Linked DNA regions of Caenorhabditis elegans. The protein of the gene in region 1 purifies or fractionates together with the protein of each later gene. This does not show direct contact. Each region holds a gene or a part of one and is shown on either strand. Other genes may lie near its edges.

Region 1 (8,744 bases):
AAACGTTAACTCACTGTGATCGACTTTCTCAATTTTCGCTTTTTTTGCTTCTTCGGCTTCCTTGATAATTTTTTCTTCGTTTTTTCGCTTTTTCTCGTCTTTCACTGGAAATATATTAAAAATGAAAATAAACAAGCAATTAAATAACTTACTTTTTCTCCAATCTAATCGTTCCTCCTTTGTCGAATTGAACAATTTTTTACGAATGTCATTTTTCTCTTTAAATGTCTTTTTCTGATCAGGATGCATTTTCTGAAAAAACATTACTTTCAAATCGAATATAATTTGTGAAAGAACATTAGAACACTGAAAAATGTGAAAATTAGGACGGAAAAGTGGAAATTGTATAAAACTTTGCAAAAAAAATTGTTTTTTATTCGTAAATGCATTCGCGCTCCAATCGAACATCACATGCGCGGTTTTTCGAATATGAGTTTTTGCAACATTGGATTGATTTTCAATAATTTCACCGAGAGTAATATAAAGGAATATAGAATTAAAACTAAATTTGAATAAAAGTCACGTTTACGTAATGGATATTATCTCCCAGTTGCGAAGAAAAATAATTTATTTCGTAAATAATGTCGATATCAAGACGAAGTTATGAACAGTTCGATGAAATGAAATCAGAAAATCAAGAAAATAATTCCAAGAAGGTAGGTCATTTTTAAAATATCTAGATAGCTTTAGCTAATTTTCAGAAAAGCTCCGAGCGTCTGAAGAAATTGGATCCAGATAAGTTTGTAGAAGCTTATGGAGCCTATGGAAAATACCAGATATTTACTTATGTCCTCGTGCAAACTCTAAATTTTTTCTATTCTTCATCTATGTATATTATGAGTTTTGTGCAGCTTAATCTGGAAAAACAATGCGAGTATAAAAATGAGGTTGGAATTTAATTTTTATTTTATATAAAAATCGTGATATTGTAGACGATTCCTATAAGTGAAACTTGTCAAATTGAAACGGAATCCAGTAAAGCATTTGGAAATTTGAATGGAGAATATTGTGGAATTGCTGAAAATACACTTGTCAAGTGAGTATACTTTCGCATTCCACCTCTTTCCACGTTGCAAAAAATGTTCTTTTGAAAAACATTATTTGTAGTTTATGGAAATAGATTAAAAAATGTTCCATAATTTTTTGTCCACTAAAATTATAATAATCGGATTTTTTTCTGAATAAGGTGATGGTGATTATCCAGTGGCGGAATTTTGCAATTTTTCTACCAAACGTTTAATGCCAGGTCTCGACACGAACGAAGTATTTTATAATGGAAAATGCGCCAATACAGTAACCCGTTTCTTCAATTTTTGCGGTTTTTTCTGGAATACATTTTTTGTTGAAAAACAGTGATAAAACCTGAAAACTGAGGTTACTGTAGTCGTTAATGGTCCACACAGAAATCATAAACTGAAACAAATAAATATTTAAAAACTAAAATTTTCATCGGTCAAGTTGGTGTCGATGGGGGGCTTCTCAGATAACCCACCGACTCCGGACCGTATTGAAAGTGATCATTCAACATCTGCTTATATACAAACATTCTCCCAAGCGACCGACTTTTTGCGCTGAATTTCATAATTTCCTTTTTCCTTTCGTCTCTGTGTCTACAACCATGCAAGTACTGGAAAAATGTCTGGCGCTGGGAGAGTATGTGGTATATAAACAACCAAGAGAAGACAACTTTCAATTCGGTCCGGAGTCAATGGGTTATCTTTCAAAACCCCCCATTGACAACAACTTGACCGGCGTTTTTTGCAATTTTGTATATTATTAGGACTCAAATATCAAAACAAAACATTTTCAGTGTCACGAATCAAAAAGCATCTACGAATTTGCTCGTAGATTTTGATCTCTCATGTTCTCATTGGTTTTTTCAAGAATTTGGATTGACAATTTTCACGATTGGAGCAGTGATTGCAGTGCCTTTTATGTCAATGTTAGCTGATAGATATGGAAGAAAACCAATTATTGTGACAACAGCAATTCTGGCTTTTTTGGCAAACATGGCTGCATCCTTTAGTCCAAATTTTGCAATTTTTCTAATTCTGAGAGCATTTATTGGAGCTTGTAGTGATGTGAGCTTCATCTTTTGAAGATCTAAAACAACTGAACATATCAATTTCAGTCGTATCTTTCTGTTGCAAGTGTTGCCACATGTGAATACTTGTCTGAAAAGGCAAGAGCCTGGATTACGGTAGTCTACAACGTGGCATGGTCTCTTGGTATGGTATGGACACTTTTGGTAACTCTGATGACTGATGACTGGCGATGGAGATATTTTATTGTATCATTACCCGGTGTTTATGGTTTTGCTTTATGGTATTTCTTACCCGAGAGTCCTCACTGGCTGATAACGAAGAATAAAACCGAAAAGTTGAAAAAGTACATTAAAACTGCAAATAGGTGGGCTCTAGTTAAGAATATAGAAGTATTCTAATAACGTTTTTAGAGTGAATAACGTATCACCTGAATTCAATGATTGCCAACAAAGTTCACATCATGAGGAAAAACATGAATCGTTCAAAGCCTTGCTGGGGAGTAAAAAATTGATTTGGCTCCTTTTTGCAAACGGATTTATCGAGTAAGTTGGGAAACTATAAAAAGCCAATAAATGGGCCGGTCTATTGTGGTTATTTATTAGGTGACTTCTGTTCAAGATAATGTCGGGAGCTCCATAATACATTATGACTAGGGATGTAGGCATGTAGGTAGATATGTAGGTATGTCTCATGAGCATTTATACTGTCTTTATGCATGGCTACTTGTTTTTCTGTACACTACGATTTTAGATTAACTTTATCTAAAGAATTCAAAAGTTCGCAAGTCTGGTTTTCCAATTTATTTAGAAAAAACTGATCCATTTTGTCGTTCTCCCAATTTTAATTATTCAGAATGGTGATTTCCCTGGTCTATTTTGCAATTTCCTTTATGTCCGTTGAGCTTGGCGGTGATCAGGTCCAGGCATTCCTCTATTCATCTTTGATTGAGATTCCAGGTGAACTGTTTCAGAAATCCTGGAATTTCCATCAATTCTTCTACTTTCAGCTGGTCTTGCCGTAATTCCATTAATGATGAAAATGGGTCGAAAGATGATTGTCATTTGGTGCCTTGTATTTCAAACTCTTGCTCTTATTGGAGTTACAGTATTTCTTGATTCTTATGAATTTAAGCTTGTCATCATGCTTGTAGCAAAAGTTATGGCCACGTGAGTTTCTTGCGTTATTTATAGATCAAATTTTTCAAGCCAAAAAGTATTTTTCATTAAAAATAACGTAATTTATTGTATTAGTAGAAATTTCCATGAAAATCCTATCAAAATTGACGAAATTCAGTATCAAGTGGTCAGCAAGTCGCTACTCAGCCAATTACCAAACTGTTATAACTATGTTTAAAGTGATTGTAGAGTTTTAGTTTAAGAGACAAAGTTGTAGAACATAACATTTGACATGACATGAAATATGTAATAAGTTTGATACAAATACTGAACATTGTCTCCAGATAAGGTCCTCAAATGGCTTCGTATCACATTCTAACCTATACCGTTCAAAGCATAATTTGAATCTACAAGTATTTCTAACCAAATTTATGAAATGCACCGAGGAATAGCAAATACGGTTTCTAGCATATTTTCAGAATAATATACTCTGTTCATCCAATCTGGGCAACTGAACAATTCCCAACATCTGTAAGATCACTGTGTTTCTCATTGATGAACATTCCACAAAGTATGGGAATAATAATGTCACCATATGTCAAACATATTGTAAGTCTCGAGAGAATTCAAAGAATTACTCAACATTGTTCAGGTTATGTCACCAAACTGGATTCCATTTGTGGTCATTGCGCTTTTCAGTTTCATTTCTGCAACGTTGGCATTCATGTTGCATGAGACAAAGGTTAGTTGGTGATTTTTGAAACAAAAATATACATTTCTATTCAGAACAAAAAGTTGCCTACCGACATTGAAAGTCTCTCTTATCCATCGGAAACGAATGATTTGTCAGCGTATCGTAGAAGCAAATCATCATCTTCCTCGGTGTCAGCATTGTCGAAAACAAGTGTTCGATCAAAGAAGACGTTGTCAAGTGAAAGTGTCAGCAAGAAACTTGATACTGTTAACTTTTCTGACAAAGAATACAGAATATAAGAATAAACACATTTCTTCCCGAAACAACTTGTATAATATGTTCACTTCTTTTTTTCCGAAGAATTCAACTAATTTTAGAAGAATGAGAGAACCGAAATGCCAAATTCGAGATATGATAAATACCATGGAACCTACAGTACTCCACAAAATTGTAATCCCTTTTTCCGACGACACTCCGTTCTTACGCAACGCATGCTGTTTATCGTAAATCAGCATCCACGTTTTTACACTGAATTTTTAAATTCAATTTATTTTCAAAACGATTGTTGCAATAATTATAATTTAGCCATGACAATTCATCATCATGGTTCTGCTGAACGTAAATCAATAGATGATTATTCGGATATACCACGAGGAGAAGCATGCAAGCAGCTTGTGGAACAGCTCAACCGAAATTTATACTCTTTGAATTCCAATATGCAGACAACCTTCAAACAAATGGTACATGTGGAAACACGGTTTGAAAAAGCATTCAAGATTAGATATAAATTGTTTTTTTTCAGAATTGGACATGAAATCTCTCTTTTGTCTTCGTGCCTTCAAGAAAATATGTCGAAATGTACAATGCCATATGCGCCACACGAAGAACAACTCGTTCAATTAGATTCTGCAAAAAGAAACTTAAAACAATTGACTCGATTACTAGATGCTCGTCAGATATTTGATGCAGAAGACAGTCAATCTGAAAAGTTAAAGGACAGGGCAATTGATGATTCGTTGCTTCCGACATTGGTGGCAATTGGAGATAATTTAAAAATTATCAAAGAGGTTTTCTGGTTTTCTTTAATCATAGCATTCTAATAATGCATATTATTCAGCTCGGCGCTAAGCCAAAGTTCGATGCTGAGACTTATCACAAAACAAAGGATCGCTATTTAGCATGGAAAGGAACTGAGTTTGCTGTGAAGTTCGACACTCCTGGAGGGCTTGATGATATTTTCGATGCATTTACAACTTTGAATTCTGTCAATGGTACATTTTAATCTTTAAAAAATCTGATAATTTTCAAAATCTAAAACCTTTAAAAATTATTATTCAGATTTCTACCGTCTCTACCAGCATCATTTCGATCAATCTCTAAACAACTTGAATAAAAACTCAGGAATTGAAGATGAAAAGTCGTTAAAAGAAATGGGAACTGTTTTTGTAACCAAAGCTGCGGAACATTTCAGAACTCATATTGGGTAGTTAATTTCCGAAATGTTTCTTTACGTTAAAATTACATTTTAGTTCGTTGTGCAAATATTGTGATGAAAACGAAGCATTCACTAGACTTCTTGATGCTTGGAAAAATTACATTAAAAATGGAACTTTGGAGAAGCTTTTTGAACAATCTATGGAGAACTATAACAATTATGATTTGCTTTCAGACTTGAAATCTGTAAGTTGTAAAACTGAAAATGTATAACCTCAAAAATAGTTTATTCTTACAGGTAGTTACAAAAGCATACGAAGAGTTTGAAACAAACACAGCTGGAGGACCAGAAGACGACGAAGAGTCCATTGAAAATATTGAGAGAATAATTGTAGATGGTCTGATGGAAAGTGCGAAGAAACCATTATCTGAAAAGCTCCGATCGATGGTTGAGCCACCACCATTGAATTTTGTTAGTAAATCATAATTTTATTGAGCAATAATTTTATAAACTAATTTCAGAGATCAGTAGCTGAAGTGATGTCATCTCTTGAAAACTTTGCCTACTTGCTGCGAGAGATTTCTCATCAACTTCTGGAAATCTATTTAGAGGATGAAGGCCGAGAGTTCATGATTTCTATTTTGAAACCAATATTCACGGATTACACAATGCGATTATGTCGAATGGAAGATAATTCGACTCCAAAAGTTAAATTGGAAGAATATCTCGAAAGAATTGCGTTGGCTGGACAACTATCAACGATTGTAGAAGAGTACAAAGATCAAACTGAAATTAAAAATGGATTGGAGTTGAAGAATGCGAAGAAATGGATGAATGAGAGAGTGAAGGATGCAATCCGTGCCAGTCATCGATTTGTGACAGATAAGATGCCTAACCACGGAGTAAGTACTGTGATTGGTTTATTTCAAACAAATTTTTTTATTTTTTGATCCTTGAAAGAAATTTATTCCATTTTCAGAGTGAGACTTACAAGGAAAGCGCCGACATGGCAAAATCTGCACTTCCAACTCCTCAAGATTTTGTGGTCACAGCTACACAGGTATGTATTTTTAAAATAGGTTTTTTTTTTTAAATTCAACTATTAAAAATTCAGAATCTTCTACATCTTCTCCGTTTCTGGGAAGAAGCATTGGCAAACGAGAATACAAAAGTCGCACTGATAGCGCATGTTATGGATATTAATAAAGGTATTTTAAAATTTTTTAGTTTTTTTTTCAAAAAAACAATGTTCTAGAATCTCTGGAAACTCCTGATGACGACGCCATCTTTGCGGCAATTCTTGATAGGATTGCGAGTCATGTGGTCAAAAAGCTTCTGCAATCTATCAACGATGTCTGGTTGACTGATGGAAAAACAGCTACACTTTCGAAGGGACTCGTTAAAGAATTCCTATGTGACGCTGAATATCTTCGTGATGCCCTTGTTGATTTGCGAGCGGGAACCCATGATAATCTTGATTCGACGATCAATAAACTCCGGGAGCAGCTGAAGACGATGTCGTAATTTGAGTTTTCATCTGAATTTCTATTAGACTAACCGGGTTGTATTTATTGTATTTAATTATGGTTTTTTGTTTTTGGATGTGATATGAAACAATTTATTGCAAAAATAAAATCTTTGGTTCGAGATGTCTTTGGCTCATTAAAAATGCCGGGATATTCAAAGTTTGGAATGTATCAAGGTTTCACGGGATATGTCTTTAAAAGCTGACTCAGAAAATGATATTCAACATGAAGGGTGCGATATAAACTATTTTCAAAAGTAAAACAAAATCTCAATCACTATCGTCTCCACCCAGCATCGGAGCAGTGTCATCGCGTAGGCCGTCGACGGGGAATCTCAAAATCTTCCGCTTTTGTTTCTCAACGAAAAGCATGGTACACGAGCAAACTGTAGAGATAACCAGAATGGATATTATAACTGAAAATTTACAATATGAATCTAGAATTAAAAAATAAAAGACTCGCCTAAATAAATAAATTGGAAGCTTGTTTTCAGACCGCATTCGGCTTCCCAATCCTCTGGAAAGTATTTTTTAAGATCATCTCCGAGCTTTTGGAGTGTGCATGGATCATCACAACCAGGAATCGAATATTCGATAAGCCGATCAATATCTGTCTCATTTTTATGAAAAACTCGTATCAAGCGAGTTTCGTTCGCGAGTTTGTGCATTTCGATGAGCAAACATGTTGCATATTTTGGATAAATATCGTAGAACACTCCAAGTGTCGCGAGAAGAGCTGCGATTGTTGAATCGTGCTGAAATTTTTTTTGTTTGAAAATGTTTTCAAAAAGTATTTACCGCAGAATACGCGTAAAACTTTGCTTCTTTTCCTAGTGATCCAGAAGCTTTATCACTAAATCGATGAAATATTTCCTCGAGAAGGGTCCCACCACGAAGACGTCGAAGAGTATCTGTATGGAATTCCAACTGAGATACTTCATTGTACAGTTGATCAACTCGTTCGAATATACTCGAGTTCATCCATGATGGCCATGTTATGTTGTTTTGTTTCTAAATTAATCCTTTTACAATAAGATTTTCAGTGATATAACATTTTTTGATTTAAGAATTTTTTGATTTTTCTGCGAAAGCTTTTGATTGAGAAGAATATATCCAAACTAAAAGTTAAAACCAAAAGTACGGTATCCGGTTTCGAAACGGAATTTTTTGTAAAATTCGAAGCGCCTTTAAAAAGTCGTGTCGAGACCAGGTACCGTATTGTTAGCGCAAAAAAAAGAATTTCGATTAAATTAAATACCTCACAAAACAAATTATCAAATATCCTCCAGGTAGCCTTTAGCTCCATATTTGGCAAATTAAGCTTTTGGGAGAAAAAGCTTAATTCTCGTGCGAACTTCTTTCGAATTCCATTAGCTTTAGTTGATTTCCATTGTGCATTCATCTCAATTTCAGCAGTCGGACAACTTGCTTCTTCGTAGAGTTCCTGAAATGTTTATTATTTTTTTGAATTTTAAATTTTTAGGCAATTACTTTGTCTGTTGGTTTCGATATCGTATGAACAGGAATTGGCTGCCACATTAATCCTCCAGCGATTGGATATTTCGGTGGGAATAGTCCTGCCATATTCGCTTGAGCCGACATTAATGTTCTATTGTAATCAGAACTACGAATATAAATCTGCAAATTTGATTTTTTTAAAAACATTTCAGAGTTTTTTAATTTCGAAAATAAAAGCATACAGCATTTCTATTGAACTTTTCCCCGAGCCACGAGCCATATCGCCTTTTGAGCCATTGACCCAGACGATATTGTTGGGCTGAAAAATATTAAAATTTTGCTGAATTTCTAATAAAAAGTTCAATAGTACCTGCTCCTTGCTCGGTCAACTCCCCCAATCCCTCAGGCCATTTCGTGATGTCATCCGGAAAGAGAAGCTCCGCCGGAGTCCGATCCCCATGTCTCCATACAG
Region 2 (8,464 bases), 4.8 Mb from region 1:
AAGTAATGGGGTTATTCAGGTAATGTTGCAAAATGTATTAAAATACATTTATGACGTCACAACTGTGTTAAAATGCAGGTTTTAATGTATTTTAATACAGAATAGTCTCGAGTCGAGACTAGACACGGTAAACATTTTTTTTTTTTTGGATTTTTTGTTTTTTTTTGGACCCAAAAAACCAAAAAAAAACCAAATAATCGATTTTTCGTCAAAATACCAAAAAAACCAAAAAACAAAAAACAAAAAAACCAAAAAAATATAATGCCTTTGTTATTAATAAGGCCAGCATCTCAAATTATGAAACCTACACTAACAGAAGTCTAGCACTGAGTTTTTAACGTATCTTATCATAATATGATAAATTCTAAAATAATTGGTTCAGAGTATCTGAACATAAAACTACTCGGTAAAACGTTGCAACTTCATAGCACACTCTTGCAACTTTTCAGGCATCCTTTTATGTTTTAACTTCTTAACAAACCTCTGCAACTTCTTCGCAAAGATTCAATAAAATTGGTTCTGGCGACGCACACGCTGTTTTTTAGAAAGCTCCTGCAAAGTTCTGCAGATTCCTGCAGACTTTAAACACGCGAAAATCGCGTTGCGGATAGGTTTTTATTCGAATAGTTTTTCCTATTTTCTCGGATTATTTAAAGATTTTTTGTTTTTTAAATGTATTTTTAATACTTTTTTCACAAATGGTTGGAATTGGAAATGGCTGGACCCAGCCTACCCCAGGCAGACCCAGCCTACCCCAGGCAGACCCAGCCTACCCCAGGCAGACCCAGCCTACCCCAGGCAGACCCAGCCTACCCCAGGCAGACCCAGCCTACCCCAGGCAGACCCAGCCTACTCCAGGCAGACCCAGCCTACCCCAGGCAGACCCAGCCTACCCCAGGCAGACCCAGCCTACCCCAGGCAGACCCAGCCTACCCCAGGCAGACCCAGCCTACTCCAGGCAGACCCAGCCTACCCAGGCAGACCCAGCCTACCCCAGGCAGACCCAGCCTACCCCAGGCAGACCCAGCCTACCCCAGGCAGACCCAGCCTACCCCAGGCAGACCCAGCCTACCCCAGGCAGACCCAGCCTACCCCAGGCAGACCCAGCCTACCCCAGGCAGACCCAGCCTACCCCAGGCAGACCCAGCCTACTCCAGGCAGACCCAGCCTACCCCAGGCAGACCCAGCCTACCCCAGGCAGACCCAGCCTACCCCAGGCAGACCCAGCCTACCCCAGGTAGACCCAGCCTACCCCAGGCAGACCCAGCCTACCCCAGGCAGACTCAGCCTACCCCAGACAGGCCTAGCCTACCCCAGACAGGCCTAGCCTACCCCAGACAGGCCTAGCCTGCCCCAGGCAGCCTAGCCTACCCCAGGCAGGCATAGCCTACCCCAGGCAGGCCTAGCCTACCCCAGGCAGGCCTAGCCTACCCCAGGCAGGCCTAGCCTACCCCAGGCAGGCCTAGCCTACCCCAGGCAGGCCTAGCCTACCTCAGGCAGGCCTAGCCTACCCCAGGCAGGCCTAGCCTACCCCAGGCAGGCACCATGATAGCATCAGTCAGAGAGGAAACAGTGAACCTCTCAGAACCCGAAAACGCCATCACTCAGCAGACAAACCAAGACTCCTTCAGGAAGGAGTACTGGAGAGTTGGGCTTACAACGTTCGAACGTGCGGTTTTACCCGGCTCCCTCACACTTAGCGAGGGTCGAAGACATGCGGCACCCAACAACGACCGCCCAAAATTCACCGATAACCCAGGAAGCTCCCGAAGGCTTGTACCACACTATGTACCACATACAAAATATTTGAGAAAGGATGAAAACTGAGAAAAGACGAAAAAACTTATTGCTCACCCTAATACTTATTTTAATTTCTAACATCGCTGATAACGTCTAACATTCTAAAAAACCTCCACAGCGAACCCCTTCCATTCCCACGGTCCTCTTCTTCTCCGCCAAAGGTCATACTCATCTTCCCATAGTCCGCAATTACACCCCCTCCCCCCTCGACGCACAATTGCGTACCCCACCCTCCTCTCAGCGTCTCCAGCCGTCATCCCTTTTCTCTGCCCAATTCATATCACACATTTTCTCTTTCTCTCTTCCCATTCACTCTTTTCTTTTCGTTCCCTGTTTTTTTGTTACAATGCACGTGTGTGTTTATACTGCTCTCTGAGGGAGAAAAAATCAGTAAATATATCATTTCTGTGAGGTCCGTTTTTTTTTAGTCCAAATAGGCTGTAGTAGGCTGAAAAAGCTTACTTTAATTACTATATTAATCGAAAAAGAACGTAAATTGACAACATTTATTGCTCAAATTTGAAAAATTGCTGCATTTTTGAGCATTGTAATTAATTACAACACACATATATATATATAATTTTAAAAAATGACGAAATTTAATTTTTGAGCAAAAAGAATTGTCAAATTTCGTTTTAGTAGTACTTTTGTACTTTTGTTTAAAATCCCAATTAGAAACGTTACTTTGAAAACTACCATATTCTTGAATTTTTTATTTCAAATTTCGGTTATAAACGCTATTTAATTCCCAATTTCCAATGAGCCTCTACTAGAGTCTTCCCCAATTAGAAATCGATACCGAAAATTCCATTGTTACCCCCCATGTACTTTCCCATGTCTCTATTTGATGGGTGGCTAATCAAACAATTACCCCTTCCCTCCCCCCACCCCGCCGACGTGTATGTTCTGTTTAGCTTAACAGAAGGTACCCGCTCCACCAGTGATAAGAATTGTTTCACTGTGTTGTATGTGTTTGCATTTCGGAACAGGAAAACGTTTGGTGGTGGGGGGACATAAAAGTTACATAAAACTTTTTTTTTGTTACTTTGCGAAAATCGAAATAAAAGTAGCGATCTTGTGATATCGGAGAAATTTAGGGTTTACTAGTATTCTTGGGAGGGAAAATCTCAAAAAATCCGAATTTCCAGACCCAAAAGGCCCTTAATTTATATAAAGTATGGTTTTCAGAACTTAATAGCTTGGTTTTAACTATTCATATTAGTTTCAGCCTAAAAATATGACATTTTTTAAAGTTTTAACCAAAAAGTTTCTCGTCGAACCTATGAGTTTTCCCACGTGGTGTGGTAGGTTGTAACGGTGTGATCTACAAAAATGCGGGAATTTTTTTCCCCAAAAAATGTGATGTCAGCACAGTGTTAACCATGCGAAATCAGTTGAGAAGTCTGCGGCTAAATTCGCGCATTTTTTGTAGATCTACGTAGATCAAACCGATATGGGGCATTCTGACATCACACCAATTTTCAGCTTTTTCCTGGATTTCTAGGTACAAAATTGAAGTTTTCAACGCTTTTTTGGAGATTCCCACGGATTTTTAGCTATTTTCAACGGCGGTTTTCGGTTTTCCAACACCCACAGCTTTAGAAAATGCAAAATCCCGTCTAAAATCTAGAGGAATGACGAATTTTTGCGAAAAAATCTGTTTATCCTCTGCTCATCCCCTCGTAAAGCCCGCTGTCAACACCTTTTCTTAATTAAATTTTTTTGCTCCAACTCCGTTCTCACGTGGTGCCAGGCTGTCCCATTACGGTTTGATCTACAAAAAAATGCGGTTTTTTTTGCCCAGAAAAATGTGAAACCATACAAAATCAGTTGAGAACTCTGCGCCTCTTCTCCCGCATTTTTTGTAGATCTACGTAGATCAAGCCGAAATGAGACACTTTGACACCGCGTGCTTTCTCTTCAATTATAGCTTTTTCTCCTGAACTTTTGCAGTTTTATAGCGTAGGTAGGCAGGCAGGTAGGCATGCCTGAATCTGTATTTTCCTTTTTTTGTATGTTACATGCTTCTCTTTTATGATATATCTCAAAATTCCAAATTTCCAGCTCACCAAGCAAAATGAACGGAGACACAGACGCCTCGTCATCTAGGACGGGAGCTCCACGAAAACCGCGCCCAGAAATTCAAATCTACCGTCCAGGAATGCTCCGCCAGGGAGGGAGCACGAAAAGCTTGAGCTCTACGAACGAAGAAGCACGACCACCACGCCCGGAGAAGTTGAACACAACAACGACGACGATGTCGGGCAATTCCAGACGAAGAAGCAACGATACGGACAGTGTGACGTCACGTGGTGGATCTGGAAGTACGACGCCCGATGCAAATGTGATTAATGCCATGAATGAGCGAGGTGGAGGAAGGAATCGATTTGAGAAAGGCTATCGACAACAACAGAGAACAGATGGGCCATCGAATTATGTAAGTTTTTATCTTATCGCTCAAAAACCAAAAGTTCTACCCTAACACTACAGAAAAAAACTGAAATTACCTAAAACCCTCAAAAAATTTTGGAAAAATTCATTATCTAGCACGGGGAAACGGTGTCAGAGTGCCTCATTTTGACGTGATCTTCGTGGATCTACAAAAAATGCGGGAGTTGAGACGCAGAGTTCTCAACTAATTTTGCATGGTTAAGAACGTGCTGGCGCCACATTTTTGGTAATAAAAATTCCCGTATTTTTCGTAGATCAAACCGTGATGGGACATCCTGACACCACCCTCAGCAAATTTTGAAAAACTAATATTTTAGCATGATAAAAGCCCCAAATTCAGCTGAAAATGTCTCAAAATACCTTAAAAGCACTAGAAAACGACTTGAATTAACGGAAAATCTTAAAATCTATGGCAAAACTGATATTTTTACGGGAAAAGCCAAAAATTTTCAGTAAATCTCTCGAAACCCAAAGTCTTCACTATGAAGTAGCTGAAATTGACTGAAAACCCTCAAAAATTGTTTAAAAACTCATTATTAGCACGAGAAAATACCTTAGTTGGCTGAAAATCCCCAAAAACGCCAAAAATCCAAATATTTAACTCTAAAGCCACTGTGGAACGGCTGAAGGTAACTCAAAATCCTCAAAATTTGAGAAATCACGTGGTATCAAGTTGCCCCATAACGGTTTGATCTACAAAAATGCGGGAATTTTTTGGCCAAAAAATGTGACGCCAGCACGTTCTTAACAATGCGAAATCAAATGAGAACTCTGCGTCTCTTTTCCCGCAATTTTTGTAGAACTACGTAGATCAAGCCAAAATTGGAGACTCTGACACCACGTGAGATCACGTATTTTGGCTCTGGAATTTAGCTGGAAAAGGTCTCAAATTCTCATGAAACCCGACTGAACCCAACTTCAAACTGGCTGAAAACTTATATTTTGTCTCGAAGACTCCAGGAAAAAAGCTAAGAATTGCTCAAGATTGAACTCAAATCCCCAGAACTAGACAAAAGTCTGAAATTGACTGAAAAGTTGCACACCCCTACAAATGTCCCAAATCCCACGAAAACCATTCCAATTCCAGAATTCCACACAATCCCTCTACGACACACGGCAACATGGTGGCTATATGGAGTACCAGGGCAACCACCGATCGAATCACCGGAATAATGGGAGATACAGTAACCAGCAGCATCAGCAGCATCGGCAACCGTTCGAACGACCCGGCGGAAATCATTATGTAGGTTATCAGGTTTTCTTAATGGAAGTGTCTGGGGGGGAGAAGGGGTGAATTAATTAGAATTAATGGGATGTGTGGGATGTGAAGTGATCAGTAAGGTATGATGGGAATATGGAAACTTTAGGAAAAAAGAAATTTTGGGGAAAAAGAGATAAATCGCTCAAATTCTAGTCTAAAACTGTAAAACTTAGTAGAAATTGTACCAAACAGCTGAGAAAAGCTTTAGAAATTAGCCCACTTCAAGAAAATTCACGTCTAGTACAGAAAGCTAGAGATTTTATCAATCTGGACAGTTTTCCATACAAATTCGAGGTTTTTACTGGTGAAAACTGTCAGAATTTGAGAAATTTGACAATCTGAACTTAGAATTACGTTTAATACCGCCTTAAGAAGGCATGATACCGTTTCGAATTGTAAAACTCTGAACAACCTTAGAAAATTGTCCGTTCTCGAAAAAAAACATAAATTTTTGCGGAAATCACCATTGAGTACGATAGTCAAGTACGCAAACACGACGCGCATTTACAAAATTGCGTATCAAATATTTTTTGAGCTAAAGCTTTTTTTGTTCAAACAACCAAACTTTTAAAGCTAAATCTTTTCAATTTCCAGACCCGCGGCTTCAACGAGCGAGCTTCCATGCGCGGGGACGGCGCCATCGCCCGACGTCCTCAAGGATCCCGTCGCCAACGCAACGATTCCATCAACTCTACCCAATCAGAAATGCCACCTCAAACCGGTGCTCAACTTCACATTGACACCTCATTCGACTCGGCATCTCAGTGTGGAGCCTCATCGAATTTCTCGATGAATTCCCTTGGCGAGGCGTTCAGTTTCGAGGAAATGTGCCAGAACCTGCAGAATTTCGCGTCGATGGATTGGAGTAAAGAGGTGGAAAATGAGTTTGCAATGCAGAAAGAGCAGGAGGAAGAGGAAGAGCGACGGATGGAGCAGAAGCTTCAAGAAGCTGCTGCTCAGGAAGCTCAGAAAGCGGCGTCTCCGAGGAGAAATAACCGAAGGAATAATCGAAGAGGTGGAGGCAACAGTCGGTACCATCCCGATGAATCCGACAGAGAAAGCTCGTTCGGTGGAAGTATCGCCGAGGAAAAAGAGGAAGAAGAAGCCGAGGAAGAGCTCAAAAGTGGTGAGAGAACTCCGACTTCTGTGCGAAGCGGCAACTCTTATAATCCACGTGTTCTGTACCAGAGAACACGTGGAGCCAACGACGAGAACCATCCGAAACGAAGAGACGCCGCCGTGGAGAAGAAGCCGAAAGAGCCGAGACGGTACCGCGGTGAGCATGACGATCGGGATGATGATGCTTCGGAGTATCATGGAACGCTGGAGAACCATATGTCGTCGGGACGTCTTGCTGGGAGAATTCAGATTGTGCAGCGCTCGCAGAATGGGACGGAAGCCGGGGGAAATCGTGAGTTTTTTTGGGAATTTTGGAAATTTTTCAGCCAGTTTCAGTGTAAAAAATAGAGGAATAATCACGGAAAAGCTGAAAAAATCGATAAAATTCTGCGTTTTATCAGTGGAACGCACTTGCATTGTCCTCTATTTTGAATGTCTTTTATTTATCGAAATAGTAGAATTTGGATAAAAATTCTGATTTTATCTACACAAGTGCGGTTTAGCACAAAAAATTGAATTTTTTTTAAATAAAAAGTGCAAACGCGCCCCACTGTGAAAAATCGATAATTTCAAGAAAAATTGAATTTTCTGCGATTTTTTCTGGAAATTTTTGAATTTTAAGCCTTGAATCCGGTTATTTTTTCTACTTCTTAACGAAAATTTCTGAAAAATCGGCAAATTTGTGATTTTTCATCTATTTTCGGAATAGTTTTTTGCGGGAAGTTGAGATTTTCGAATTTTTTTCCGACTTTTCGATCTTTCTTTGATTTCAAATCGGCTTATTTTAATATTCTTCTTCAAAAAGTGCTGAAAATTGACTGAAAACCGACTGAAACCCTTCTAGAACCCCTAAAAATGCAAGTGCGCCCCACCGCACCGCAACTTTTTGAGAGCGAAAATCGAATTTCGAACTGATTTTCTCCGTTTTTCGGCTCAATTTCTTATCAAATAATCAATATTTTTTGTTCAGGAAACCGCCAATCATCCGAAGAAAAGCCGAGAACCTACCAAAAGCGCAGGTGAACTGAAAATGCACTGATTTTTTACGATTTTCTACCGCTTTACCCCCTTTTTTACCCCCCAACCAGTGTCCTCTGGGATCTCCAATTAATAATTATTCTCACATTTCTAATCAATTGTCCATTCCAACAACTAATCTCTGTGTGATCTACTGCCTTTTTGATCTGTTTTTATTTCTGTCTTTTTTTCCGAATTTTTTTTCTAATAATTTGGAAATTTTTAATAAAAATCAATAATATCCTCTGTTTGCTATACATTTTTCGCTAACCGTAAATTTGCTTTGGGTTTCTAATATTTTTTGGTGAAAAACAATTTTTTTTTTGGATTTTTCAAAAAAAAATGTTTTTTTGAATTTTATAAAAATCGATATTTTCAGCCAAAACCAGTCAGAAATGGCTAACCGAGCTGAAATTAACCGGCGAAGACAGGAAGATATCGATCGTAATGAGGGAAAACAGATTAGAGAAGTGATTTTACCGCCGCCGGCAAACCCAAAAAAAAATCGATTTTTTTTCCAGATTAGCGAAAAAATCGAGAAATTATCAGCGCCCGTTAAGAAGCGCGACCTGAAATCCGCTGAAAAAATGGCTGAAATTAGGTAGATCAAAGAAAAAATTGATTTATCGATTTTTTACCTCGAAAAATCGATATTTTCAGCATGGAATTGGCTAATATCTACTCGCAAGTCATCATTCATGACGTCATCTACTCATTTACGGCAGGTCTCGAGCAGAAATTGTTTCGACAAGCATTTTATAAGGTTTTTACAACAAAAAATCGATAATTTGAGTGAAAATTACTGGAAAATCGATA

What was found.
Region 2: the proteins of B0361.3 (region 1) and smg-6 fractionate together in Caenorhabditis elegans (co-fractionation; one large-scale study listed by BioGRID). This does not show direct contact.

Annotation. Positions count from the first base shown.
Region 1 is NC_003281.10:7,277,023-7,285,766, forward strand, and holds B0361.3 (uncharacterized protein), read left to right. Parts: upstream 1-4,439; 5' UTR 4,440-4,441; coding exon 4,442-4,611; intron 4,612-4,656; coding exon 4,657-4,921; intron 4,922-4,971; coding exon 4,972-5,125; intron 5,126-5,192; coding exon 5,193-5,337; intron 5,338-5,383; coding exon 5,384-5,534; intron 5,535-5,586; coding exon 5,587-5,760; intron 5,761-5,810; coding exon 5,811-6,191; intron 6,192-6,268; coding exon 6,269-6,349; intron 6,350-6,403; coding exon 6,404-6,497; intron 6,498-6,544; coding exon 6,545-6,813; 3' UTR 6,814-6,937; downstream 6,938-8,744. Other genes in the region: Putative methyltransferase spot-1, read right to left, coding at 15-104, 153-249; Putative transporter B0361.11, read left to right, coding at 582-656, 702-887, 933-1,036, 1,811-2,081, 2,132-2,409, 2,456-2,587, 2,898-3,001, 3,052-3,211 and 3 more; pho-5 (Putative acid phosphatase 5), read right to left, coding at 7,085-7,230, 7,278-7,569, 7,613-7,825, 8,073-8,258, 8,306-8,452, 8,515-8,591, 8,643-8,744.
Region 2 is NC_003281.10:2,470,004-2,478,467, forward strand, and holds the start of smg-6 (PIN domain-containing protein), read left to right. Parts: upstream 1-3,864; 5' UTR 3,865-3,877; coding exon 3,878-4,237; intron 4,238-5,338; coding exon 5,339-5,494; intron 5,495-6,106; coding exon 6,107-6,923; intron 6,924-7,601; coding exon 7,602-7,650; coding exon of another isoform or gene 7,651-7,654; exon of another isoform or gene 7,655-7,894; intron 7,895-8,027; coding exon 8,028-8,118; intron 8,119-8,169; coding exon 8,170-8,249; intron 8,250-8,308; coding exon 8,309-8,411; intron 8,412-8,464.